3 linked regions of the Elephas maximus indicus genome follow. The protein of the gene in region 2 binds, or shares a complex with, the protein of the main gene of each other region. Links are inferred from orthologs where the notes say so. Each region holds a gene or a part of one and is shown on either strand. Other genes may lie near its edges.

Region 1 (9,471 bases), on a different chromosome or scaffold from region 2:
CCGGGGATGACCGTGGCCATCTTGCTCCCCGGGTCCTGCCCCCAGCAGGTCCCCGCCGGGTCGGTCCTCCCAGCGCTCGGGCGGGCGCCGAGGCCGCCCATCCATTCATTCCCGGGGGGTGGGAGGACGGGGGCCACCGCCAATCACGGCGGAGGGGCGGGCCCGCCCGGCCATGCTGGGAGTTGTAGTCCAGGCCCGGGGTCGACCCACCCGGCGGCGGAGAGGCACTCACCGGCTTACACGCATCCTGGCTCGTACACACAGCCTGGGCTGACATGCCTGCGCTCACATACGCACACCTGGATCACACCCGCACCGCACAGTTTGCACATGCATTCACACATAGGCTCACACACTCATACACTCCCGCCTACACACCTTCGCACGGACTCACACAGCTGCACTCACGTACATTTATGCTCACACACAGATATCATACCAAGAGACTTAGGGGCACCTTACAGGTGCCCACACAGACTTCCCCCAGCCTGCGTACGGCCGCTGTCACACACGTGACACTGCCCCCCCCGTCCCTTCTAGCTCCAAGGATCCCTATCCCACCCCACTCGGGATTGTCTCTCACCCCAACCACACTCACCCACCCCACCCCACGCAGCCCCTTCCACAGGCTGGACGGCAGCCGCACCTCCTGGGTTCAAATCCTGGCTCTGCCACTTGTTGGCCACATGACCTTGCGAATGACTTAAATTTTCTGAGCCTCAGTTTCTTTATCTGTAAAATGAGAGTGATGCCTCCTTGGCCGGATGTGAGGATTAAATGAATAAACATGGGGGAAAATAAGTAAATACAGGCAAAGTGTTGTAAAAGGTAGCAGAGGCCCTGAGTGTGCATATGGTTTATGTGCTCGGCTGCTAACCAACAGGTTGGTGGTTTCAGTCCACCCAGAGGTGCCTCGGAAGAAAGGCTTGGCAATCTACTTCTGAAAATCAGCCATGAAAGAACCTAGGGAGCACAACTCTACTCAGACACACATGGGGTTGCCGTGAGTCAGAATTGACCAGTGGCAGCTGGTTGGTTTTTTGGTTAGGCATGTAGTAAGTGCTCGATAAATGCACCCATTTCACGGAGGATCTGATATGTGCTAAGATATAAACTGGCAAAAACTAATCATTATTAGAAAGAATACTGCCAGGCAGAGTAGATGCTCAGTAAATATTTGTTGAAAGAACACATTTCCTGAGCAGCGACTGTAACACTAGACACAGTCCTAAGTGTTTTACAGAGGTTAACTCATTTGACCTCATAACAACCTTCTGGGGCCATACTATTAATGTCCCCATCTTCCAAATGAGAGAAGTTACAAACCTGTAATAACACAACCCTCAGTCCCTGGTGGCTGTTTGAAGGTGGGACTGAGAAAACGGTGCATTCATCCAGACACCCATCCTCACGTGGGCCTTACACCCTTCTGCCTCCCACTGTCACTCACAGAGATTCCACCCTGAGGAACTCCCAGAAAGTGAACTGACCCACCTGGTCACACACACGTGCCAAGCCTCTACACACACACACACACACACACACGCTCAAACGCACACCCACTGCCCGCCTGGTTCAGAGTTTGTGTCCAGGGAGCCGCTGCAGGGATGAAAAAGTGGTGGTCCTACATGCCCACGAACACACTCATCCCCCAGGGGGCACTCCTGCAGACAGGGGGAGGCACTCTAGCCTTCGCCTCTTTTGTAACCTGATGCCCCCTCCCACCATCACTTCTCCACACACACCCCTGCACCTCTCCTCTTAGATCCTTTCCACAAACTGCTCCTCCCTCCCACATAACCCCAATTGGGGTCTCTGCTCCACACCTAACCCAGAGTAGGTGACAAGGGAAGTAAGTGAGAGATGCTGGCACCCCACCTCCACACTCACTCAGGCCTCCAGGCCCCTCTAGTGGCTACCCCAGATACCTTCTCCACAGTGAGCCCTGCCCCCTCAGAGGGAGCCCTTGCCACCACCTTCCTCTCTCACCTCTCACCCCCTGCACAGATCACCAGCATGCCCTCTCACGCTGGCTCCCCCACACCTCCAATCTCAGACACCCAGCTCACCCTCACCTCACATGAGAAACCTTGCATCAGTTTGAGTCAGGGGAGCCTGCGCACGTAGACACCCATCACCTCTCCAGAGGTGCACCAACAGGATCTGAACCTACAGAGCCAGGCTGCCACTTGGAAAGACGTCTCCCCTTCCATACCCTAAGTCACCTCCAAAGACCCCTCCCACGTGCTCTCCTACACACTTGAACACCACAGTCCCTCCCCTGTCCAAAAACAGTCCTCCCCTCCCCAACCCTCTGTGTCCTGTATGGGAGCTGGACGCAATAGAAACCAGTATTGATATCACCCCTAATAATCATACACTTAGCTGGGGTCAGGTGCTATACTGAGTGCTCATAAATACCACCTTATTTAAGCCTCACAGCAGCCCCATGAGTTAAAAAGAACTATAAAACCAAAAAGAAAAAACCGGTTGCCTTTGAGTGGATTCCAACTCATAATGACTCTATAGGTCAGAGTAGAACTGTCCCACAGGTTTTCCAAGGAGTGGCTGGTGAATTCAAACTGCCAACTTTTGGTCGGCAGCCAAACACTTAACCACTGCGCCACCAGGGCTCCAAAAGAACTATTATGCGCCCCAATTCACGGATGGTAAAACTGAGGCTGGAGGCGGGGAGGGCATTAATGGCTCAAGCTGGGGTTTGAACTCCCGAGGGCTTCGCTCTCCAGCCCCCTGCTCCCAAGGAGATTTGACTCTCATATTGTTTCAGGAGAGAGTCCCTACCCTCACCCGTGCAGACCCCTGGGAAGGGGAGAGCGGAGAGGGATGCTGGCACGCCCGCCTCACACACTCTGGCCACCAGGCACCCGCAGAAGCCAGGATGCCTGTAATCCACCACCAGGCACGGGAACCCTGTTCCCAACTAGTGTAAGGGTGTCCCTCGTAGGAGAGGCATCTGCCTGTGTGTGCAGGTGTGGGTGGAAAGGAAGCACACACCATAGCACACTGACCCCGGCCCCATACACCCCCTTCAAGCCCTCTTGGCCCTCACCAAGCCACACTTGACGGCTTGTGCCTATAAGCTCCCACCCCCTACGCACCCTCCACTCCCAACTTCCCCCTGCCAGAAGCGACTGGGAGCCCTTTGATCCAGCCACCACGCGCCACCCTTCTCGGGGTCACTCCCTCTCCTCTCCTCCCGCCCCCCGCCCCGCCCCCGCCCACTGCACTCATTGCTCAAGGTCAAGGAGGCGAGCGCGGGGTTGGGGGAAGGGTGGGGGAGGTCGTCCCGGCCCCTTTGTGCGGCGCCGCGGGAGCTCGCCCCCCGCCTCCTCCCAGGCCGAGGAGGGGGAGGGGAGTGCTGCGCCCGCCTGCCAGAGAGGGAGGACGGGAGCGGCCGCGCCTGTCACTCCGAGCCCGCTGTCACCGCCTGGGGAAGGGGCGCGGGTAGGGGGGAATGCCGGGACCCGGGAGTCCGGGATCCCGAAGAGGGAAGAGGAGAGGCGGAGAGAGCGAGCAATGGCAAGGAGGGGTAGGGACGAGAGGGAGCTAGGCGCGGACCCAGGCGTCCGGCTCCACGGCGTTGGGCACAGGAGAAACCTAACGCTGCAAGCAGTGACGCGGGCAGGGAGGAAGGGAAGGGATCCCCGGAGGGCGAGGGCGCTCCCAGCACCCCCTCCGGAGGCTCCCTTTAGATGTGTATGGGCGAGGAGGGGAAGGGATCCTCCGGTCTAAGCTGACCTTAGTGTCGGGGCTTCTTGGTCCTGGGCCAGGCCTAAGACCCGGAGAGGAAAAGGGGGATGCAGCGGGGATCTAACCGGGGACCCCCGAAGCCTCAGCCCCCACCCTGCAGCCGCTTGAGCCCGGGACCCGGGAGAAGGAGGGAGGAAAGAGAGAAAGGCGCCTTGATGAGGGGAAAGAGAACGGTGGAGACCCCGGAGACCGAGGTCGGGACCCAAGCCGGGGGGCCCCAGACAGATGGTGGAGGAGGGGGAAGCCCCTAACTCCCTGGGTGGGGAAACTCGGCCTCCGCCCCCCGCCCCCAGCCCGCGCCACATTCCTTCACTGACAGCGACAAAGAAGAGGCGCCCCCGCGGCCCCGAAGGGGCTCCCGCCCGTAACTCAGGGGGCGACAGGGGGCGCCGGGCCCCCAGGGGCAGGGGACGTGCTGGGGGGGCCTCGAACCGCGGTCTGCGCGCTGCGACCCCTCCCCAGCGAGGGTGGGGGAAGAGCTCCTGGGAGGGTTCCGGGCGGGGGCGGGGGTGGCTGCGGGGACTCACGACTTGAGCGGGTTCTGAATGGCGGTGGCCATGGCCCGCTCGGCGGGGCCGCCTCCGGCCCGGGGCGCCGCTCCCGCCGCGCGCGGGCCCAGCCCGGCCTGCGCCGCCGGCTCCGCCGCCCAGCGCGCTACGATTTCATTCATTCTTGGGGCTGCGGCGCGAGCCGAGCGGGGCGGGACGGGGGCGGGGCTCGGCCAATCCCCGCGCCTCCAGGCGCACGACGGGACGTGGAGTCCAGGGGCGCGCAACGGCGCCCGAGGGCGCCCGTGCCCGGACTACACGTCCCAGGGGGCGCCGGGAGGACTGCGCGCCCATTGGCTGCTGGGGATACAGGGCGGGGCGGGGCTCGCCCCCCAGAGGCTCAGTCCCCCTCCCTGGGGATGCTCCATCCCCGACTCGCGCTCCCCATCCTCCAGGCATCTCGGGCGCTGGCGCAGGTGGTCCTCCACTTCTGGGCCTCCCCAAGTCTGTGGGTGACCCGAGTCTGTCGTGTATTTTTGTCTGTATCTGCTGGTCCAGGTGCCTCTTCTGTGTAAGCCAGCTGTCGTCAAGCACAGGGGTTAGTTGATGTCTTCGTTCGTTCATTCAGTGATGTCAGACTCTTGTATGCGCTGGGGATACAGCAGTGACCAAAGCGGACAAAGTCGCTGCCCTCAAGCAGCTGACATTCTACTGAAGAAAGACAGATAATAAACAAGAAAAGAAATAGATAAGATCATTTGAGAGAGAGAGAGTGCTATAAACAAAACAGGTTGATTTGAGCAGAAGGTGGCCTCTGTGAGGAGGTGGCATTTGAGCTGAAACCTGAGAAGGTGCAAGCCCCCCCGGCTGAAAATAGCATCCCCTATAACTCTGTCCCTTTTAACTACTTTACTTTTCTTCCAAGCACTTATCATAGCCTGTCATCATATCATACATCTGTTTGGTTACTTGGTTTGTTGTCTGCCTCTGTTCATTAGAAGGAAACCCTACTGGCACAGTGGTTAAGACCTATGGCTGCTAACCAAAAAGTCGGCAGTTCAAATCCACCAGGTGCTCCTTGGAAACCCTAAGGGGCAGTTCTCTCTCCTGTAGGGTTGCTATGAGTTGAAATTGACTCGACGCCAATGGGTTTGTTTTGGTTGGTTTTCTTCATTAGAATGTCACCTCTATGTTATTCCATCTGCTACTGCCTCCCCAGTGCCTAGAGCAGGGCCTGACAAATAGTAGGTGCTATTTTTTTAAATGGGGTCCCTCGGTGGCACAAACGGTTGAGCACTTGGCTACTGACTGCAGTTTGGTGGTTCGAACTGGTCCTACCCCATCTGGAGCAAGAGAGAATGAAGAAAGCCAAAGACACAAGGAAAAGATCAGCCCAGAGGACTAACGGACCACAACATGCCCAGGCGCAGGGGACCATCAAATGCAAAGACCCTGAAGTGGGAGCAAGGTTGGCACATTCTAAGATCAGCAAGGCTAGTGTGGCTGAAGCAGAGTGAGCGAAGGGGTAGACAAGGTTGGGGAGAGAGAAAGGACCCAGATCATGTAGGGCCTCGTAGGCCATTATACAGAGAATGGATTTTGCTCTAAGTGCAATCCATCATCCGGACTTTTCTCTTTTGGAAGTCCATCAGCAAATCCTGTCATCTCTATGTTCATAAAATGGATCCAGAGTCCACCCACCCCTCTCCACTTCCTAACCCCCATCCTGGTCCTTTCCACATTGTCTTCCGCCTGTACTATCACAGCGGCTCCATCGTCGGTTTCTGGCCCTGCTCCCGGTCTGTTCTTCCCATGGCAGCCAAAGCAGGCTACCTAAAACACACATCACAGCACGCCACTCTCCAGCTCAAAACCTCCAACGGCCTCTTTCACAATTAGAATAAAATGCAGTGTCCTCACGGTGCCCTCAAGGGCCTTCTCAATCCCCCCGAACCTCCATCACATTTCTGACCTCATTTCCCTCCTTCTTCCCTTGACTAACTTTGCTCTGGCCACACTGGCCTCCTCCCTGTTCCTGGAATAGTCCAGGCCTGCTTCAGCCACAAGGCCTTTGCATTGCCTAGAAAGCTCCTTCCCCAGGTACCTGCATAGCTCCATCACTCACTTCATTCAGGTCTCTACTTAAATATCACCTCCTCAAAGGCTACACCAGCTAACATTGCATCCCCTACAGCTCTGCCCCTTTAGCTACTTTACTTTTCTTCCAAGCACTTATCATAGCCCATCATCATGTCCTGTATCTATTTGGTTACTTGGTTTATTGTCTGTCTTCATTTATTAGAATATCAGCTGTGTGAGGGTGGGGATGTTGTCCCATCCACTGCTGTCTCCACATTGACTAGAACAGGGCCTGACGGATAGTAGGTGCTGTTTTTTAAATGGGGTCCCTCGGTGGTACAAACGGTTAAGCACTGGGCTACTAACTGCAAAGTTTGGTGGTTCTAACTTGTCCCACCCCGTCTGGAGCAAGAGAGGATGAAAAAAACCTAAGACACAAGGGAAAGATTACTCCAAAGGACTAATGGACCACAGCTAGCACAGCCTCCACCAGCCCGAGTCCAGCACCAGAGAGTACCCAGCTAAAACCACCAACTGCTCTGACAGGGATCACAATAGAGGGTCAGAGCCGGAGAAAAATGTAGACCAAAATTCTAACTCACAAAAAAAGGCCAGACTTACTGGTCCGAAAGAGACTGGAAAAACCCCAAGAGTACGGCTCCCAGACACTCTTTTAACTCAGCACTGAAGTCACTCCTGAGGTTCACCCTTCAGCCAAAGATTAGAGACGCCCATAAAACAAACGATAATACACAGAGCTCAACCATGTACACAAGACTAAGTGGGCACACCAGCCCAGGGGCAAGGACGAGAAGGCAGGAGGGGACGGGAAAGCTGGACAAATGGAAATGGGGAACCTAAAGTCGAGAAGGAGAGAGTGTTGACATATCTCGGGGCTGGCAACCAATGCACAAAATAATACGTCCATTAACTCTTTAATGAGAAACTAATTTGCTCTGTAAACCTTCATCTAAAACACAGTAAAGAAAAGAAGAAAAAAGTTTGATGGTTCGAATCTACCCAGAGGCACTGAGAAGAAAGGCCCAGCCGTCCACTCCTGAAAGATCACAGTCGCTGAAAACCCTGTGGAGCACAGTTCTGCCCTGACACAAGTGCGGTTGCTACGAGTTAGAATCGACTTGACTGCAACTGGTTGTTGTTGTTGTTTTCTTTAGTATTTGTTGAATAAATAAATGAAACCAATTACTCATTATGCCCAGTGTCCAGCCCTGAGGCGTGCAACTGGTGAGGGGTGAGAGCAAGGTGACCCAGGCTGTGCGCTCCCATGCATGGAGACCTGGACAACGGAAGCAGGGGAACTCTATCAAGGAATCCTGCCCAGCAGAGGGCCTGGAGCTGAAGCTCAAAGGGGAAGGTTAAGCACACTCACTAATTTCTGGAGTGCTATGGACCACAGATCCACAGCCATAGCGATCCTAGAGGACTGGTGGATTTGAACTGCCGACCTTTTGGTTAGCAGCCATATCACTTAACCACTGTGCCACCAGGGCTCTAGGGTTGCCATGGTCAGAACAGACCTGACAACTGGCTGGTTTTTTTTTTTTTTTTTGGTTTATGGACCACAGCCCTGTGTGATCATGCTAGGGACACCCCCTGATGGAGACAACCCCAGGTTCTGTCCTGAGGTCACAATCTAGTGGGGCAACAGACCCATCAGCAGACAACAACAGCCCAGAGGGGTCAGGGTTGGGATGAGGGAGGCACAGGCAGAGGGATCAGGCCTGGCGTGGGGGAAATAAAAGGGGATGTGGGAGTCCAGAGAAGGCACCTGACCTAACCTGGGGGTCACGGAGGGCTTCCTAGAGGAGGGGACGGCTGAACTGTTTGTGAATCCTTTAGCATTCTAAATCTCTGACCTCACAGGGCAGGGTTCCTGTCCCGACCTCTTCGGGTCCTGATCCCTAATCTTGTTACTCAGCCTTGGAGGCCAACGCTGATCCTGGAAGTCCCAGTCTTTGGGCCTTCTCCCAAACCCTGAGACCAAGGATGTGGCCACCAGAGGGCACTGTGGCTCTAGTCTTTGTGCCCCAGAGGCTGCTCCAGAATTCTCAGACTGGAATCCTGAGAGCCTGAGAGACATGGCAGGCTTGGGGTCGGTCCCCGGTGGAGACACTAAGCCCCACATTGGGCCTCAGACCCTGCCCGGAACCTGGTCACCACGGTCTAACCTCCCTGTGGACCCAGAATCACTGGGAGACCCTCTGCTCCAGACTCCTTGGGGCCCAGCTGGAACCTCAGAGAGGGGCAGTGTTGCTAACACCCACCGCATCTCGCTTCTCCCCACACAGACTCAGAGAATACAGCCCCCCCAAGCTCCCCTTCGGATGTTCAGCCATAGCCTTCAGACGCCTCCTGCCCAGATGGGAATGGGGAGGTCCAGAAGGGCGAAGGCTGGGCGGTGGGGCTCACAATACCCGGACAACGGCAACAACAGTGAGTAAGGTCCAATTTATTTAGCTCTTCCTACACTGAGCTGTTTGCAAGGTTTGCATCACTGACTCATACAAACCACCCAGAGGAAGCAGGAATCAGCACCTCCGTATTGCAGACGAAGCAACTTAGGCCCAGATGGACAAAGTTCTCACCGAAAGCCGGCACCCACAGGGCAGGGAACGCTGACATTCAGACCAGGTGTGACTCAAAAGCCAACACCTGAAGCCTAGGTCCTCTGAGGGGGGTTTGCTGACTTCCTGTGTCCACATCCCCTCGGGCCTACCGTGAAAATATCCCCCTGCCCACCCACTCACCCGGCCCACCCCTGTCCTGTGGGTTCAGTGTCCCTGAAGGCCGATGCTGGAGTCCATCCTTAGCAAACTCCCAAGTCTTTCTATGACCACCACCTGTCTGTCAGTTTGTCGTACTCTGGTGACTGTGTTGCTGTGATGCTGGAAGCTATGCCACTGGTGTTTCAGGTACCAGCAGGGCCACCGTTGGTGGACAGGTTTCAGTGGAGCTTGTAGACTGAGACAGACTAGGAAGAAGGACCCGGCAGTCTACTTCTGAAAGAACTGGCCAGTTAAAACCATGAATAGCCGCTGAACATTGTCTGATATAGTGCTGCTAACCAAAACGCCTGCAGTTCAAATCCACCAGTTGCTCCTTGGAAACCCTA
Region 2 (10,234 bases):
TATGCAGACTTGGTGTATGTCCGATTGCAGATTGAGTATCTCCATTTGGTTGCTAATGGAGTCAGCTTATGCCAGCTCATACCAGCTCACAAGAGCCGATTGTATACTTCTCTTCCCAACTCCTTGATTAGTGAAGTCATATTGGTGGTAGTAACTTGAAATCAGTCATGGTGAGAGTATTTACACCATGGAAATCAAATGCTTCAGATCAGGATTCTGCACGCCCCCAAAAAAGATCGTTGTTAAAACATTTACTACACCTCACTGCTCACAGATATCTCACACTCGACATATTCAAAACGAAATTGATCATTTTCCACCCACCTCACTCTTCCCCACCCTGTTCTTCTCTTGACCCAGTTAACACCGCCATGCACCCAGGAGCTTCCCAATGGATAGTGAACTAGTTAGAGTCCAGTCTAAGGAGCTACAACATCCACAACAACAACAAAAAAACAAACCCATTGCTGTCGAGTCAATTCCGACTCACAGCCACCTATAGGACAGAGTAGAATTGCCCCATAGGGTTCCCAAGCAGTGCCTGGCGGATTTGAACTGCCAGCCTTTTGGTGAGCAGCCTTAACTCTTAACCACCAGGATTTCCGCTATAAAAAAGAGACTCAAAAATATAGTGGCTTAAGCAACAACTCCAAAGTAGACAGACACTCCAGGACTGTGGAGGCATCTCTGTCATCCTTAACATAAGCTTCCATCTCAGGGTCCAAAGTGGCTCTAGCAGCTCCCACCATTATATCTGAATCTCATCCATTGAGAAGGGAGTTGAGGTAGGAAGTACAAGTCCTTTTTGTTTAAGAACACCACTAACTTTTACTCAGAAGTTGGCCAGATGCAAGAAAGGCTGGAAAATGTAATATCTAGCCATGTACCTAGCTAAAACATTAATAAAGAAAGAAGGACAGAGGTATTAGAGTAAGGCTAGCAGTCTTTCCTTGGAGAATAAATCCTGTCAATGCTACCTCTTAAGTATTAAATCCATCATTTCTGCGCATGCCACATACCTTGGTTTTTGCCTGTTTCTTTCTGATCAACCTTCCAAATTGTTGCCAGAGATATATTTCTAAAATGCAAATTGGGTCATATAACTTTCCCATTCAAAACCGTGTAGTAGAAGGCCAAAGCCTCTTTATGGGACACACAGACTTGGTCTTGTTCCCCCTATTCAGAATGCCTTCCACCCCCACTCCAACACCACTTCCTTATCAGCTGGAAAAATTCAGGTCATTTCCCCAGGCTTCTTTTAAATATTGCCTCTTCTGTGAAGCACTCCTTAACTTCACTGTTATTGGTGCCCCTCTGCAATGCTGGCTTCATTCCTATTGCAGCCTTTATTTATTCCTGGGCATTTGCCACCTGCACTAGGCCAGGGGCTCCCTGAGAAGCCAAGGAACTTGGTTTACCTGGCAGATGGCTGGGTGAGAGTTCGACAAGCAATGGTCAGGTCCCCACAAGATGCCAACTCATTTCTAAGCTGTAGGATCAGAGGGCCTGTTCCTGCCACCTTGGAATCATTACCAGGGGCTCAGGTTCAGCCAGTCTGAATGCGGGCATGAAATGTGAGAATCTCCAGCTGACTTTATTGAATTAATTGTTTCATCATCCATCTTCCTGGATAAACAATAAACTCTATGGATCAAGTTTTATGAGCCATTTTATTCCCAGTGCCTATTTTTTTTATCGGGTACATAGGAAACCCTGGTGGCATAGTGGTTGAGAGCTATGGCTGCTAACCAAAAGGTCGGCAGTTTGGATCCACCAGGCACTCCTTGGAAACTATGGGGCAGTTCTACTCTGTCCTATAGGGTTGCTATGAGTTGGAACTGACTTGATGGCAACGGGTTTGGTTAACGGGTTATCATTACATAGGGAACATTTATGGAATGAATAAAAGCATGACAACATTTGCCCCAGGGTAAGCATTTTTCACATGCTTTGGTTCAAATCCCAGCTCTGGCACTTACCAGATGGGTAACCTTAGGCAAGTCACTTAACCTCGCTACACTTCTGTTTCCCCAGCTGAAAATGGGTATAATAATTAGGCCGTTATTAGGATTAAATGTCTTATTATTTGCAAAGCATTTATCTTATTCGATCTGTATGCTGAGAAAGTAATCCGAGAAGCTGAACTATATGAAGAAGAATGCTGCATCAGAAGTGGAGAAAAACAGCATTAACAACCTGCAATATGCAGATGACACAACCTTGCTTGCAGAAAGCAAAGAGAACTTGAAGCACTTACTGAAGAAGATCAAAGACTACACCCTTCAGTATGGATTGCATCTCAACATAAAGAAAACAAAAACCCTCACAACTGGACTAATAAGCAATATCATGATAAACAGAGAAAAGATTGAAGTTGTCAAGGATTTCATTTTACTTGGATCTACAATCAACACCCATGGAAGCAGCAGTCAAGAAATCAAAAGATGCATTGCATTGGGCAACTCTGCTGCAAAAGACCTCTTTAAAGTGTGGAAAAGTAAGGATGTCACTTTGAGCAATAAGATGCACCTGACCCAAGCCATGGTATTTTCAATTACCTTATATGCATCTGAAAGCTGGACAATGAATAAGGAAGACCAAACAAGAATTGACACCTTCGAATTGTGCTGTTGTCAAAGAATATTGAATACACCATGAACTGCAAGAAGAACAAACACATCTGTCTTGGAAGAAGTACAACCAGAATGCTCCTTAGAAGCAAGAGTGGCAAGACTTTGTCTCACATACTTTGAACATGTTATGAGGAAGGACCAGTCCTTGGAGAAGGACATCATGCTTGGTATAGCAGAGGGTCAATGAAAAAGAGGAAGACTCTCATCATGGATTGAATTGTGTTCCCCCAAAATGTGTGTCAACTTGACTAGGCCATGATTCCCAGTATTGTGTGATTGTCTACCACTTTGTCATCTGATGTGATTTTCCTAGGTGTTTTAAATCCTACCTTTATGATGTTAATGAAATGGGATTAGCAACAGTTACTTTAATGAGGCAAGACTCAATTTAAAAGATTAGATTGTGTCTTAAGTCAATCTCTTTTGAGATATAAGAGGAGTGAGCAGAGAGACAGGGGGCTCATATACCAAGAAAGCAGCCCCAGAGCAGAATGTGTCCTTTGGACCTGGGATTCCTGTGCCGAGAAGCTTCTAGACCAGAGGAAAATTGATGACAAGGACTTTTCCTCGTGAGAAAGAACCTTGCTCCAAAGAAAGCCTTCTCCTGGAGCTGGCACCTTAACTCAAACTTGTAGACTCCTGGACTTTGAGAGAATAAAATTATGTTTGTTAAAGCCATCCACTTGTGGTATTTAGTTAGAGCAGCCCAAGATAACTCAGCCAGCCCTCAGTGAGATGGATTGACACAGTGGCTGCAACAATGGGCTCAAACATAGCAATGATTGTGAGGTGGCACAGGACCAGGCAGTGTTTTGTTCTGTTGTACGTAGGGTTGTTATGAGTTGAAATCAACTAGATGGCACCTAACAACAACCATAACCTTGGTCAAGTCACTTAACCTCTCCATACCTCTGTTTCCCCATCTGCAAAATGGGGATAATAATCACGTTATGAGGATTAAATGACTTATTGTTTGTAAAGTGTTTATAACAGTGCCTGGCACATAGTAGATGCTTTGAATTTGCTAAATAAAGGAGCTGACCTCTGATTACTTTTCCAATCTCATTCCCCACTGATGCTACTTTCTCCCACCAACTCATATCCAACCCTCCTTCTAAACTGAGCTCCTAACTATTCCCACATAAACCCTTATGTCAGAAATATTCATGTCTCAGCACTTTTGCACATGCCATTACCTGCATAGTTCATGATTCACTTCAAACTTCACTTCTAGAAGCCTTTCTGGACTCTCAGAGACAGTCCCTCCATCCTCTAGGCCTCTGTTGCACCTCATTTTCATTCATGTCTGAGCTCCCCATTGCACCAAGACTCTCTGAGAGCAAGAATCTATCTTATGTACCTCAGTATTCTCACACCTAGCATGTTCCCTGGAACACAGTCAGCATAAAAAAATGTTTGTTGAATCAATGAATGAACAAATTAAATACACTAACTACCTTCACCTTAAACACCTCCATAATAGAGTAGAATCTCATGTCAGATCCCATGACAAATGAAAACTGGCTACAGTTGACAGGGACATAAACCAATTCAGTCCTATACTTAGAAGACTGTAGCTTTTTCACCAGCCTTGAGAATAAAATTCTCTTCTCATTACCAGAGAGTCTAAAGACTTCTAACTTATGCGTTATAATATTAAAGCCTCAAAATCTCCCCAGGGACATTCTGAAGACCCAGTCTTTATGGAGTAGTCCTGTCGCCCTACTCTTAGCCAGACACTTGACTATGGTATCACATTGAGTCCTCACCACCAGGTGTTCTACAATGGAGGACAATGAAGCTTGAAGAGGAACACAGAGTTGTTATGAAACAAGGTCTTCTCTCAACTGGCTGATAAGAGGATCTAGATTCTAGTCCTGGCTCTGCGCCCAGTGAGCTGTGGGACCAAGACAAGGCCCTGCCACTATCTGAAGAAACCCCTGTAAAATCCACAGATTGGATCAATGATCACTAAAATTTCTCCCAATTGGGGCAATTTCTGAATCTGGGGGTGGGCGTGGTGCAGGGGAATTGAAAAGGTGAACTCACATGGGAGGTGAAGCAACACCATTGTCAACAGGCCATGCAGGCCATGAATCAAATTCTTTGGTGTTCTTTACTCCTCACTTCAACACTTTGAAAGATGAAGAAATGCAGGCTCTAAGAGGTTTAGGGGCTCATTCAATTCATACAGGCCTCAATTTATAGAGAGGCCAATGATTGGCCAGGGTCACTCAGGAGAGTCTCAATCTCCCAGCTCCTGGGTCAGTGCCTTCTCCCCTACATCTGACCCTTCCCACTGCAGACTGGACCCCTCCAAGCCTGGTGATCCAGACCTGGGCCTGCAACCAATCCAGGGCACATAAGATGTCACTGTTACCAGTAGGGAGCCACTAAGCCAGCTGAGATCAAATGTCCTTCTGGTGGGGAAAGGTAAGACCTCTTCCAGAGTGGGTGTCTGGTGAGCAGAAACTTCAGGGGCATTGTGGCAGTCACACAATTCCCTCTCTCTGTCATCTCCGGTCTTAACGTTCCCCCCGCCAACAAGCAGATGGAAAGGCCCTCAATGCACATGTATACGCATGCACATAAGTACACACATACACACACGTATGCACGTGCACACATATACCAACACACATAAACATGGACATACAAGCACACAGCTACACACAAATGATCATACAAGAGTCTCTGGCTAACCCAGGCTGTCAGCACTGCTCCTTCCCTTCACTATTAAAATCACTGTGGAGGTGGTGTCATGCCAGGAGCCCAGAAGAGGCTAGAAACCTCCCAGTAGAAAACCAACTTGCTTAATAAATGCCTCCAGAGCAGAACAACGGGCTGAAGAGAGAAGCCTTGGGAAAGGAAGCTAAGGCTGGATTAGCTGAGGTCCTATGTGTGAGTGGGTATGTGTGTGTATGCACACGTGTATGCGTGTGTACGCATGTGTATGTGTGTGTACACATGTGCATGTGTGAGGCCCAGGCATCAGAGAACAGGGGAGAAAAAGAGAAAGCCATCAGAAAGACAGGGGTGGAAAGACACTGGGAAAGGACGAAGACACGCACCACCCCCCCCCCCGCCCCCGTACCTCTTTCCCTTCTTCTTCCCTCCCCTCCCTCTCCCTCGATTTCTCTCAGGCCTGGGCTTTGCGGACCAGAGCTCTGGAGCAAGACGGTGGACGACTCTCCAGGACTATGGCGCCCTCTTCCCCTGTCCCCTTTAAACAAATAAAGGAGCAGGGGCCCCACCAGTCACCCACCGGAGTGCTGGTCTCCGAATGGGCGGGGTGTCCATCTCTTTACTACTGTGTGGGCCTATCTCTTATGGTCGGTCTCTGCACCCTCGCTGTTCCCCTACCTCCTCCCCTCAGCCAGATGTTGAGGAGTCTGCCCCTTTAAAGCAGCGGCCCCCGGCGGGGTTATTGTCTTGCTTAGCAGCCAATCGGCGGCGCCGTTGGGGGCGGGGGATCTGGCCCTCCGATTGGCCGCCTCACGCCCCGCCCCCGCCCGGGATCCCGGGAGCTGTCCGGACGCCTCGGTGCTGATCCCGCCGCCGCCCACGGGCCGCGAGCTGCTGAGAGGGCACTATGAGCGGGGGCGTCTACGGCGGAGGTGAGCGAGTCTCGGGCTTGGGGCTTTCCAGTCCGGCGCGGCCTCGCCCGCAGCCCTGAGGCCCGAACCTGCGCGACCCAAGCTCCAGGCACCCTGGGGCCTGTCAACTCGACGCTCGAGAGGGCCCAGCCCAGGGCTTGGGTCCCATGCCACCCCTGCCTTTAGTCCTTCCCGGACGCCTCTCGCTCTCCGGGCCAAACTCTCTACCATTCAACCCACCTCTTCAGGGACCCCAGCCCCTTCCTTCCCCGCCAAAGACAGTGGCCTGAAGAAGGCCACTCAGCAAGACGGGATTCTGGCTGGCTTGACTCCCACTCTCAGCACCCTGGATTCCAGGCTGAGCTCCCACCTGCCCCTGCGCGGGATGAAGGTGGCGAGACTGTGGCTCTGCCCTGACCTCCTCTCGGAGGTGTCCAGGCAAGAGAGTTTGGAGGAGGCCCCCTCACAAGCCTGTCTCCTCGCACAGATGAGGTGGGGGCGCTGGTCTTTGACATTGGCTCCTTCTCAGTCCGCGCTGGGTACGCTGGGGAGGACTGCCCCAAGGTGAGTCTTCCAGCTCCCTTCCCAAATCCTAGGGGCTCCGGACTCCCCTCCAGGCTTTACAGTGACCTAGGGCTCTCACAGACTCGCAGAGAAGCTCTGCAGAGGGAAATGTGGGCGTAAACCTCTGGCGGGCTGAGGGCCTTGCAGTGGGGCAGGACCAGGGCAACAGGGTGATCCTTCTCCCTGCCCATCCTCCCCCCTCAGGCTGACTTCCCCACCACGGTGGGGCTGCTGGCCGCGGAGGAGGGGGGCGGGCTGGAGCTGGAGGGGGAGAAAGAGAAGAAAGGGAAGATCTTCCACATAGACACCAACGCCCTGCACGTGCCTCGGGATGGAGCGGAGGTCATGTCGCCCCTCAAGAACGGCATGAGTAAGGGGCCCCACCCACTGCCTCCCAACACAGACCCGGAGCTCACTCCCCACGGCCCGGGACACAGCACCCACACCCACGGAGTACTCCTTACAGCTGCCCAAGTCCCAGTGACCCCTCACTGTTTCCCACAGCTGCCTGGTTCCCAAACCAGGGGCTGCCAGATTCCTGGGAAAGAGGCTTTTCTGCCGGAACTGGTCCCACTTCCCTTCCCCTGGACTTGGCTTCCTTCCCTCCTCTTTCCTTCCGGTCCTCTGACCGCTGCTTGCCCTCCACTGTCTCTCCACGCTGTTCTCCTGGCCCCAGTCGAGGACTGGGAGTGCTTCCGTGCCATCCTGGATCACACCTACAGCAAACACGTCAAGTCTGAGCCAAATCTGCACCCAGTGCTCATGTCCGAGGCGCCGGTAAGTGCCTCGTCCAGCTCCTAGTCGGGCCCTGAGACCCAGGCGCTTCCTTTCCGCCATTCAGCTGTCACCTCAAGTTGCCCCCATCAATCAAGCCACCTCCTCCCTTTTTAGGCTTTCCTTCCAACCCCATAGATCTTCAACCATTTTTCTTCCTTACTGCCTTAGTCTTCATTTCTCCTCATCCCGTGCTCTATCCACTTGCCCTTCCCCCAACCAGCCTTATCTGCGGCCCTTTCCCCACCAAAAGTCCTTTTTTGAACTTTTAACTTAATTTTTTTTAATTTTGATTGTGTTTTAATTGAAAGTTTACAAATCAACTCAGTCTCTCACACAAAAACTTATATACACCTTGCTATTTTTTTACGTACTCCCAATTGCTCTCGCCCTAAGGAGACAGCCAGCTCCGTCCCTCCACTCTCTTTTTTGCGACCATTTCACCAGCTTCTAAAACCCTCTACCCTCTCATCTCCCCTCCAGGCAGGAAATGCCAACATAATCTCAAGTGCCCATCTGATCCAAGAAGCTCACTCCTCACCAGCATCCCTCTCCAACCCTTTGTCCAGTCTGATCCCTGTCTGAAGAGTTGGCTTTGGGAATGGTTCCTGTCCTGGGCCAACATTAACTTAATATTTTTGTCAACCTTATGTATGCTCATAAAGAGTCAGTTTGCTTCATAAAGTATGTTAAGAAGAAAACTGTAGTTCCTTCCATTTCTGCTTTTCCAACGGGCATAGCTTTTATCTCATTTAGCTAAGTCTTTTGGTATTTCCTTTCATATCTCTAAATATCATGGTTAAATTGCTGCTTGTGAATATTTTTTTTTTAGTTTTAGACATTATCTATGAGCTTCCCACTACAGGAAATTAGTATTTACTTCTCTTTCCTTCCCCAACCCACACCACACACATTTCTCATTCCCCACCTTTATATATAGTTGTATTTTAGTTTTTTTTTTTAAGGTCAATATTCAGTGTTTACACTTTATTACAATGTATGGTAATAAGGATTGGGACAGGCAATAAACCATGATTATTTTTCCTTTCCTGAAAAACTTTTTGTTTTTTCTAGAACTGAAAATTGTCTTGGTTTTTATTTTCCTTAGTTTTTAATCTACTTATTAATAACATGTCCCTAAATTATTCATCAGTAATCTGTAACTCCTCTCAAGACATTAATTCCATTAGGTAGTCTATCAATTTCATCATCTGGAAGACATCTCTCCAGGAGCCCATTGACCTGCTCCACTTTGGACTAGTAACCCTTTACACATGGGACATAGGTGTCATCCTGGCATCTTTCTTCACCATCATTTTGAGGAATTCTTTTTCTTCTTTCCTGTAGTAGAGGTCCATTTTCTGTATCCCATGATTTTTTCTCTTGATTTACTCCCTTGTTTTTATGGAGCACAACCTCCAGTAGCTTTTTTAGAAAGATCATGGGAAGTAAATTTTTTTTGATACCTTGCATGTCTGACCTTGGATTAATAGCTTGGTTAGGTATAAAACTCCAGGTTGGAAATAATTTTTCTTCAGAATCTTAACGACAACTTTCCATTATCTTTCAGCATATGTTGCTACCATTGAGAAAGCTGAAGCCATTGATTCTTGATCCTGTGATGTGATACTGTTTTCTTTCTGAAAGTTTATAGAATCTTCACTTTGTCCTCAATAGTCTATAATTTCACAGTGATATGTATTGATATGGGTCTATTTTCGTCATTGCTCTAGGCATTCAGTATGTCCCTTCAATCTGGAAACCATGTCTTTCAGTTCAGTGAAAAATCTAAAAATTACCTATTTGACGGTACATTTCTTTCAATTTCCTCTGTTCTCTCTTTTGGGAATCCTGTTACTTGGATTTTTTGCCCCCTAAACTGGTCCCATTATTATTATTTTTAATCTTTTGTCTTCTATTTTCCATCTCTTTATCTTTTTGCTCTAATTTGCAGAAGTTTCCCTAAACTTTACTTCCAACCCATCTATTCAGTTTTTCATCTCTGCTCTTGTAGTTTTCATTTCCAAGAGCTCTTTATTTCCTGTGTGTCACTTTTTTTTTTTACTGTGCTAAAAACATATATAACAAAACTTTTGCCATTTCAACATTTTTTCATGTACAATTTAATGACATTAATTATGTTATGCAACCATCACCGCTATTTGTTTCCAAGTTTTTTTCATCACCTTTAACAGAAACTGAGCTTCCCGTAAGCAATGACACCACATTTCTCCCTCCCCTCAGCCCTGGTAACCACCAATCTGTTTTCTGCCCCTATGGACTTGCTCATTCTGGATATTTCATATAAATGGATCATGTAATATGTGATCTTTCGTGTCTGACTTACTTCACTTAGCATAATGTTTTCAAAATCATCCATGGTGTGGCACGAATCAGTACTTCATTCCTTTTTATGGCTGAATAATATTCCACTGCATGTATTTACCACAATTTACTTATCCATTAATCCATTAATGAACATTTGGGTTTCCATATTTTGGCTATTGTGAATACTGCTTCAATGAAAATTGATGTACAAGGATTTGTGTTTTCAGTTCTTTTGGGTATAGGCCTAGGAGTGGAATTGCTGGGTCATAGGGCAATTCTATGTTTAGCTTTTTGAGGAGCCACCTAACTTTTCCATAGTAGGTGCACCATGTTACATTT
Region 3 (9,742 bases), on a different chromosome or scaffold from region 2:
AGTCTGAGGGTCCTTTTTCATAAGGGGCCAGGAGTATGTCCATAAAAAGTTACAAGTTCACGAAGTTCATACCCCAATGTTCCCCACTTAGTACCTACCCACATGTTCCTGCCCCCAACAGAAGGAGCTAAGTAGAGATTAAAACTTGGAATGTGTCCCCTACCCCTTACTCTCTGGTATCTAAACAGAATGTCAGAGCACGAGTGGGGTCTGGCTTCTAAGTGGTGTCAATTAAACAACTTTCACATGCACAGAACCACTTAGATTAGAATAAACTGTATTCCAATCATAGGATGTGTTAAGAGATGAAGATTTGAGGTCCATCTACACACAGGACCCTGTTTAACCTTAGCTATACTTTTTTATACTTTTAAGTAAGTATATTTATTTCTCCCAGAGTTGTGTCCTTGATTACAAAACAGGGATAAGAACACATACCTCCAAGCAAGGTTAAATGTTTAGGAAAGCGAGTTCAAAATACAATTATGTATATGTATAGTCACAGTTAAAAGCATGCCAAATTCGTTTACTGGTGTTATTCTCTATAAATAAATAGTTATCTGGGGTAAAGCCCTTTTGGTCTATATAGAATAATTAAATAATAATAACCGTTATTCTTTTTCTAAGCAGGCAGTTACAATAATAGATACATACATGCATAATCAAGTCTGGCAGAAGGTGGCAGACATTCCCAGTTAAGTGCATACAAACCAGGGTTTTGATAACTTAATAAAAGAGTAAGTTGCTTAAAGTGCTGAAAGCTGATTTATCTGAACTGGAATATTAAATAAGATTAGAATTTATATTAAAAAGCATTAAGGCTCCTTAATGGAGAAGGCAGTGAGAATACGAATATACGATGTGATTGACACAAAGTGCTATATCAAATCCTTATTTATGTTACCTGCATGTGTTTGCTTCACTACACAGCCCTTATCATGCATATGTGTGTAGGAAATAAGGGTCTCACACATCTAGGATTAGACAATGTAGCTGCTAAATTAAATAATGTGTAATATACATTTACACATCACACATGCCCATCAATTTTTTAAATTCTATTTGTCCAGATGTGACTGCTCAGTTGTGGGGCCACCTGCGGAGTCCCCTTTGTGATCTTATCAGCCTAGGCAGCTCCAGTTTCTGCCTCTAACACCCTGTTGCGCTGTAATAAGATGTTAAAGGCAACAACAGAGGGAGAAGGTAGGCTGTCAGCTTCAGAGGGGAAGGTGAAGACGGGTACAACAAGGAAGAATAAAAAAAGGAGTTGAAGGGCGATCAAAGACAGGCAGGAAGAAAGCCAAACTGCTAAAACAGGAGATGTGGCTTCAGGACATTAGGGCCCTAAGGAAGACCCCAAAGCAAGGAGACCCAAACAGTGTCATCCAGTTACCCCAGCCATTGAATTATTGAATGTCCCACATGCACAAAGCTAGTATAATGAAAAAATGGCCCATACTCAGGGTAAAAAGAGCCCTACAGAGGTGTTGCATGAAACCTGAGCTTGTTTCTTCCCAGCACATTTACCAACCACCACTTTATCCTCCAATCCCAGAGGAAACCTTTGTGTAACCAGCTTCTGTAGGGGGCGTCGGTGATGTTGGCTTTTTTTTTTTTTAAGGGAGGGGGAGACAGACTCACAACGCACAGAGAAAATGCTAATGTCGTTCAGCTCCGTTTCATTGTCAGGAGGGACACGTGAGGATAAAAACAGAGCTCTCCAAACCATTCTCCCCGCTCCCCCTCCTCCCAGCACTGCAATCCATCCCCTCCGATTGATGTGGCTCGGGCTCTACGCTTTGTTCTAATTTATCCCATGCATAATTGATTCACGTGTGTATTATTTCCTGATCAGCAACTTTTAAAAACAAATGAAATATATAAGATGTTTTATTAAACAAGTTGCTTTTGAAAAAAATACAGGCAGATGGTGTCGGTCTCCCAATGATAGCGTGTGTGCTCTTGGCGTTAGGAGTTTAAAAAGCGTCCAGGGTGCAGGAGGCTAGACTGGTCCCGGCATTGTTTACACTCCCTCACCCCCAGGGAAAGGGGTTGGGATGCAACTCCCACCTAGAAAAAGCAGGCAGGGGTGTTGTGTGTATGCGAGAATGTGCGCGTGTGTCGAGACACAGAATTACAAATACATCACATTGCAACTGTTTCTAATTACACAAAGTACGAGTATAATAATTCAGAACTAATTCCATTGATCAGCCGGAATTCGGCTACCCTCTTCCCGCCTCTCCGTCCCTTTTTCCACCCCTAACGTTACCCCAACACAGACACCCCCCCCTCAAAACACACACCATCCAGTGGTCAAAAAAAAAAAAAACTAGAGCAAGCAGGGGGAACCGCGGAACCGGGAAATATTGCGCCCGCGCGTAAGCAAGCGGGCTCCGGGGTAACAAGAGCACCGCTTTTCCAATAGGAAACCAACACGGTGCACATGTGAAACAGATTTCTCTAACTTGAGTTTACCAGGTGGTATCAGCCCCGCTATGTGAGTTCAGCTGGAAATGGGAAAACTGCAAATCTGCTGTGGATTTGGTAGAAACTCCCAGCATCAGCTGCGTAGCCGCGCAGGCGAGGAGCGTGGATGCGGCGAAGTTACGCGCATTTATTCTGCCATAAAACATTTTCTTTCTTGGGTGAAACGCTGTAACGTTCAAGAGCCGTATATCCAAGCTTCCGTGCAAGAACCGAGGCCGAGAGGTCCTCTCGGATCAGCTTCAGCTTCCAAAGTCCTCTTAACGGCCGCACTCAATATATATATTTTAAACTCCTAGACATGGGACATTCCTACCCCTTTTCCTTATTGCTAGTGGGAGATAAGCTGGTGCAAACACGACCGATTCTCCCCGAGCGTTTCTTCGCTTTAGGAGCCCCCCTATGACCCCCCCGGTAGGAACCTGGCTTTTAACTCCGTGAGGAGCCCCGGGGGGGGGCGGGGGGAGCGGACGCTGATGCGCGGAGTTGAAAGAACCGGGGTCCGCTTCGGCCGCGCACAAGAGAGAATTGAACACGAAGCGCCCCCACTCGCACCCCCCCTCCCCTCGCTGGCGGGTTCCAGCCGGGCGCCGAAGTCCTGATCAAATGCGCACGGACCCCGAACCCACGTCGCGCTAGGAACCCGAGGGAGCCTCCAACAGCACCCTTTTAAGAGCGACGCTAGTTCTCGAGGCCACCCCCGGCTCGATGATCGCAAGCGGACTTGGCGGCTTAACAGTTCGACCGACTGGAAGGAAGGAAGGAAGCCAGGATGAAGAGGGGGAGGAAGGAAGGCAGGCAGGAATTAACTGTCGAACCCGGGGACTGGCCCCCGCGTGCCCTTGCCCAGCCCGCCCCCTCCGTCCCGGATCTGGGCGTCTGCACAAAGTCTCTCGGCGGCGGCCAGAGGCACCTGCCCCTCGCTCTGGCCGGGAGTAAACGCTGCCTGCTGGGGCGGGGAGCCCGGAGCCGCCTCTCCGCCCGCCTCGCCTTTTCACCCAGAGGAGATGAGAACACCATTCCTAAGACCTGCAGCTTCCCGGCCTCCGAATCAACCCCAAGTCAACCCGAGTCATTAATTTACTACAGCCAGTTCGCCCACAAACACATACGCAAACGCGCCCGCGACTGCCCGGAGCGCCGTCATGCTCCGGGGGCGGCCCCGCAGGAAAGCCCCAGGCAGCCACCTGGGCCCCAGAGCTCCCGGGACCTGCGGCTTCCCCCGCGGTCCTCCCAACTCCGGAAGGTTTGCACAAACTCCCCGCGAGCGATCGGAAGGCAGAGAGCGCCCTGCAAACTCCGGAGCCGCCGCGGTCCGCTGGCCCGAGGGGACGGAGCAGCCAGGCGGGGGCCGCCGGCTCCGGAGGCGTGGGGCGCAGCCAAGTGCACCGAGGCGGCCACTGCCCGGCTCGCGCCCCCAGCTCGGCCTCCCCCAGCTACGCACTTGCCGCCCCGCTCAGTAGGGGACCCGGGGTACCTGCCGTCCCCTCGCTGCCCACAATCCCCCTAGCTGTCGAGCGCGCGGGCGCTTGGCTCCCCTACCGATCACCCCCCTCTCGCTCTGTCCACCAATTAAGCAAAACACAAATGTAACAGTTTTCTTCTTGTTAATTGCATCTCCTGACATTTCTACGCGTAGGGGAAAAAAAAAAAAAAGATGAAGAAGTCAGAGCGGAAAGAAAAGAGAGAAGCCCTGCCGCGGCTGGAGGCGCCTGCAAGCGCAGTGCGTTGGCAGCGCTCCGCACGGAGAAGGCGCCTTTTTTTTCATACTGAAACCACGCGGAATATGTACATTTTTTGGTCTTACTTACGCTTTCAGGGGGTTGTGAATGACAGTCGCCATTTTGCTACAATGTAACAGAATATTGTCTGTCTCAGAGTTCTAAAGGTTCGCTCAGGGGAAGCGGCAGGCCAATCAGAGCACGGGATACCGGCCCGCCGGCCAATCGGCGCGGCTGGCCGCCAGGTGGGCGGGGCCTGCGCGGTGGTAGTTATTAGGGGAGCTGTCAAAGCCCAGAGGTCACTCCCTTTTGTAGAGCCGGAGAGCGAGCAGGTCTTAAAGGGGCAGTACCGCGCGAGCAACTCCTTTTCGGATTGGGGAAAGTCGAGACGCACTCGGTAGAGTATTGTAGTTTGGATTAAGTCGCCGCTTTTCTAAATAACTGCGGAGAGTTTGCGCTCCTGAGCATAACTATTTAAATACTGCGAACAAACTACTGAACCTCATCCATTAGCTTTTGGCTTGGCTAATTTTAATCCCCCAAAGGGCAAATCTACTCGTTCCCGTGCAAAAGTTGGAAGGCTCCCGTTTTGTCAAATTACTACACGTGTCTTGCCGTTTGCTAATACTCTGAGACCTGCGGTTTTTTAATATTCCAATACCCAAAATGGTTTCTTTAGCTCGGCCACCTTCCTCTCTCAGTGTCTTACAACTGCCTCTGCTGTTCCTGGCGACTCCCGGACAGCAACTCCCCTCCCCCTGGAATGTTTCAATGTCAGGCTTGCTCACTCCTGCAGCCAGGGCTTCCGTTACATAACGCGCGGTGGTCACACTGCGCGGTTCCCCACTACCACCCTTTCTGTTCTCCCCCTACACCAGAAACTTCTGAAATGATCACATTCCAGCCGGTTGGAGAGTTGAGGAGGACCTGGCGCTGTGACCTTTAGGCTTAGGGGTAAGGGAGGTTTAGGGAAACTTTTGGAAACGCCTTCTGCTGCCTGGAAAGCAAGTAACTTGAAGACGAGTTGTAGACTGTAGATTGGGTGTTGTAGACCTAGAGTCCCTTTCCGGGAGTGGCACAGGCGATTCAGGCGTCACCTTTCCTATTTAGATAGAAGGCGAAAAGAATTTGCTAATGAATAATCCGGTGTGGCCTGAGGCGTTCAGAGAGTCCCTGTCTGCTTCAAGTTGGTGTGAACTCCTCACTGGCGAGCCTCTGACAAAACTGGGAGACTTCTGAGAAGTCAGGCTCAGACTGGGCAGCCTGGAAGCTCCGGGTGGATGAAATCGCACTAAATCGTGAATAGGGCAGGGGCCTCGTTAGCATACAGAAGTCTGGCTACAGTCCCAAAGCTGTTTAATCAGGTCAAGTAGCTAAAATAGTGGGGGAGGGGCGACAAGGGGGCTGAGGAGATGCCAAATTGCCGGTTCTTTAAAGCTGTGCCCTCTCACTTCCTTTCTCAGGGCTCCTCTCAAAGCAGTGAATTAAAAATTAAAATAAACCTTCCAGAACTTTCAGAGTTCAGTTCCATACACTATTAGAGTTACAGATGAATAGAAATGGCTGAATCAGTATGTTTGTAATAGACTTGAAATATTTTAACTTCCTTCTTTCTGACTGGAGCCCTGGTGGCCCTGTGGTTAAGAGTTATGCTACTAACCAAAAGGTCCTTAGTTCGAATCCACCAGCCGCTCCTTGGAAACCCTGGGGGGCAGTTCTACTCTGTCTTATAGGGTCGATATGAGTCAAAATCTACTTGACGGCAACAATTTGGTTTTTGTTTTTTCTTACTAGTTAATAGTAAAATTACACGGATGCATTTGTGACTTTTTGTACAGCATCTTAGAAGAGATTACAGTCTGAAAAAGTTGTCTTCTCAAATTCAAGTTTGAAAAATCTCTTCCTTATTAATTTGCCAAGGGCTTAGTTCAAAAGTTTATACTTTGCCTGGAATGGGCCTTGACATCATTAAAAACCAGTACTATATACTCTGATGTAAGAAGTTCAGTCTTCTCAGTGAGTTTGAATTAACAGTTATAACTCCCACCAATCTCTTTGATTCGGATTGAAACCACAACAATTTGGATTAAAAAACAGCATATTTTAATCTATCCAGCTGTATAAAGGCAGGAGGTGTAGAGTCTGCCCTGAACTGGACTTCCAATTGAATGGAAAAAGTAAAGAAAAACAAAATCTACATGGCAAGTATATACTCTGAGCATGTGCATATAGTTGGTTCTGTTAAGGCCCAGCTGCAGAAACCAACATAATTCCTAACTACCCGGCACACTTGAAAATGGCAGACCAGATCCGCCTTCATTTTGAAAAAATGTTTAACCCAGAGCTTAAACATTTAAGTTACATTTCATGATTGAATTGAAAAGAATCATGAATTAACAACGGTAGGATTTTTTTTTAGAAGTAGGATATCCTTGCTTTTTGTTACCCAAGGGAATGTCATTTTAACTGTCAATGCAGGTATGACTTTTAAATAAACAGAATTGTGAATTCATCTTTTATCAGTTCTAAGACCTGTAAGAGTTATTATTTTTAACTTTTTTTTTTTTTAACAGATCTCTTTGTGTATATTTTACTGTGTTTCTCTAGGATAGATGTGGTTGCTGGTTGCCGTCATATTGATTCTGATTCATGGCAACCCGTGTGTGCACAGCAGAACTGCTCCACAGGGTTTTTAAGTTTGTGACCTTTTTGAGAGCAGATTGCCAGGTCTGTCCTCCAAGGCACATCTGGGTGGGTTCAAACAGCCAACCTTTCAGTTAGTAGCTGAGTGCTTAACCGTGTGTACCACCCTGGGATCTTTAACTTTGGTTTTCATCTTGTAGATCAAGATCTCTCTCCCATAAGGCAGTTTCCATCTGCCAGTTTCCCAAATAGGCCTTAAAATGTACGGACCTCTCCCACAAAAACATGTTTTTACCAGAATTCTGAAAAGCAAGAGGGCTTAGTGGACATGTTGAAAGGTGAAAAAAGCCTTGAACAATTTTGGAGAATGTAAAATTTTACATTAGTTTTGTGAAGGAGGGCTGTGTAGGGCTAGGAGTGTGAGCTCTGGAATCTGCCTGCCTGAGTCCACCACTCATCGGCTGGGTTATCCCGGGTAAGCTTACTTAGCAACTGTAAGGTCTTAGCTTCCTCATCTGAAAAGTGGCGATAATAATAGAACCTACTTCGGGCGGCTCTCTCCATAAATGTCGACTATTATTTTTATATACCCACCCCAGTGCCGTCGAGTCGATTCCGACTCATAGTGACCCTATAGGACAGAGTAGAACTGCCCCATAGAGTTTCCAAGGAGCGCCTGGCGGATTCGAACTGCTGACCCTTTGGTTAGCAGCCGTAGCACTTAACCACTATGCCACCAGGGTTTCCATTATTTTTATATACCCACCCATAGATATTAATCATTTCCTGATGGCATAGGAATGTAGGGTATCTGAATAAAAGGGCACAACAGGAGGTGAAACTGTTCACTAAGTTTGTTTTTTTGAACTCATTGGTCTAAGCAAGATGAGCAAATGAACATTCTGATGAGAAAAAAATAATAAACAGAAATTTTTCAGTTAGGGGTCATAGAACTTAAACTTAAAAATGTCCTCTTGCTAATTAGACTATCAGAACACTTTTTAAACTGCATTTTTAAAGTTCTGTTGATAGTCATTTACACACTCCTTCCCACCACAGCCCTTTCATCTGTATTTAGTTTAGGTAGCTTAATTTGGAGGGCAGATCTAGTACAGAATAACCACTTTCCTGTTTCACTTGGAGAGTCTAGTTCTGTGCTGTCCAATATGGGCACCACTAGCCACATGTGGCTATCGAGCCCTTGAAATGCAGCTAGTCTGAATTGAGATGTGTTATCAATGTAAAATGGGGGCAGGAGTGATTTCAGTGGTAGAATTCTCACCTGACGTGAGCAAGATTGGGGTTCAGTTCCCAGCCTATGCACCTCTTGCATAGCCACCCCGTCTGTCAGCGGAGGCTTACGATGTGTTGTTACAATGCTGAACAGGTTTCACTGGAGCTTCCTGATTAAGGTGACTAGGAAGAAAGGCCTGGCGATCTACTTCCAAAAATCAGCCATCGAAAACCTTATGGATCACAACAGTCTGAGCTGCAGCCGATCGTGGGGATAGAGCAGGACTGGCTAGCATTTTGCTCAGTTATGCATGGGGTCACCATAGGTTGGGGACTGACTCAATGGTAGCTAACAACAACAATATAAATGTGAAATACACACTGGATTTCATAGACTTAGTACAGAAAAGAAAGTAAAATACCTCATAAATAATTTTTATATTGAGTACATGGTGACGTGCTAATTTTTTATATATACTGGGTTAAAATATAAAAGCCTATTTCACCTCTTTTCACTTTTTTTTAATGTGGATACTAGAAAATAAAAAATTACACACATGGCTCACACCATATTTTTATCAAATAGAGCTGCTCTACACAGTGTGTATGACCAAGGAAAGAATTATGGGCCTTTCTCAATCATATTAGTTCACCCTGTGTCGTTATTAGTTGTCATCATGGTGGCCTCATGTGTGCAGAATAGAACTGCTCCATGGGGTCATCAAGACTGTGATCTTTCAGAAGCAGATCACCAGGCCTGTCTTCCAAAGTGCCTCTGGATGGATTCGAACCACCAAACCTTCGGTTAGTAGTTAAGCACTTAACCATTTAAGCTACCCAGCCACCTTCACCCTTGTAGCCTTCTCAAATTCATCCTTCGTGTCAATTAGCAAAACTCCCTCACTCAGCTCAAGTATGTGTTCAGTGCACCCATCCAAAGGAACATTTGGGTTGTGACTGAGGACCCAAGCATCTGAACCACAGGGGCACCCATCTCGGTTTACTCCTAAAAAGTTGAAGGCTGTTTCCGAAGACAATCAAAGCTACGAGGAGATGCCCATCCAGAAATATAGAAGAATGGCACTTGTGTAGCAAGTGCTGACCTTTCCAGCTGACTTTTCAAAGATAAATATGAGAAAGGAGACAAAGGCCTCACAAACACCCAAAGAGTTCATTTGAAAGAGGAAGTATGCCCACAAAAGCCATCTGAAATAAATGCAATTTCTGGTGGGCTCTGAGAGCTGAAGGAGTCTCGAGTCCAGTGGGTATTTGAAAAATAAGACCAAGCTCACCCTCAATCCCTCCATCCATCCACAGAACAATCAGTCGTGTCCATAGCAGCTGGTTGGCCATGGCTGGTTCCCTGAGGTCCAGAACCAGCTCTGGGACATTCTAGACTCTGAGCTGAAGAGGAACTCTTTTGAAGAAAAGAGGGCATCAAAGCCACAGCCTGCATGAGAACATAATGAATGTCCCTGAATCGTACATGTAAGAGTGGCTGAAATGTCAATAAAAATTAAATATGCACAGAGCCTGATTTTCTGTCTTCTTGGCGCTGTGGGGGCAGGGGTTCTCACTCCCTTCACAGTATCTCTAAACACAGAAAAACAAAGATGTCAAGTTCCAGGTCTGGGTGATGCTCCCAGGGCCAGGCCTCT

What was found. Proteins that work in one complex are often made in the same cells at the same time.
Region 1: ACTL6B (region 2) and DPF1 share a complex: the UniProt entries of both Homo sapiens proteins name them as parts of the neuron-specific chromatin remodeling complex. The link is inferred for Elephas maximus indicus from reciprocal best matches to the Homo sapiens genes ACTL6B and DPF1.
Region 3: ACTL6B (region 2) and DPF3 share a complex: the UniProt entries of both Homo sapiens proteins name them as parts of the BAF complex. The link is inferred for Elephas maximus indicus from reciprocal best matches to the Homo sapiens genes ACTL6B and DPF3.

Annotation. Positions count from the first base shown.
Region 1 is NC_064829.1:113,378,549-113,388,019, reverse strand, and holds the start of DPF1 (zinc finger protein neuro-d4), read right to left. Parts: upstream 4,331-9,471; coding exon 4,299-4,330; intron 36-4,298; exon of another isoform or gene 21-35; coding exon of another isoform or gene 1-20. UniProt on the Homo sapiens protein: May have an important role in developing neurons by participating in regulation of cell survival, possibly as a neurospecific transcription factor. Belongs to the neuron-specific chromatin remodeling complex (nBAF complex).
Region 2 is NC_064830.1:92,064,614-92,074,847, reverse strand, and holds the start of ACTL6B (actin-like protein 6B), read left to right. Parts: upstream 1-6,168; 5' UTR 6,169-6,225; coding exon 6,226-6,250; intron 6,251-6,716; coding exon 6,717-6,793; intron 6,794-6,997; coding exon 6,998-7,163; intron 7,164-7,469; coding exon 7,470-7,570; intron 7,571-10,234. UniProt on the Homo sapiens protein: Involved in transcriptional activation and repression of select genes by chromatin remodeling (alteration of DNA-nucleosome topology).
Region 3 is NC_064828.1:85,702,687-85,712,428, forward strand, and holds the start of DPF3 (zinc finger protein DPF3), read right to left. Parts: upstream 4,331-9,742; coding exon 4,299-4,330; intron 1-4,298. Other genes in the region: non-histone chromosomal protein HMG-17-like, read right to left, coding at 5,391-5,546. UniProt on the Homo sapiens protein: Belongs to the neuron-specific chromatin remodeling complex (nBAF complex).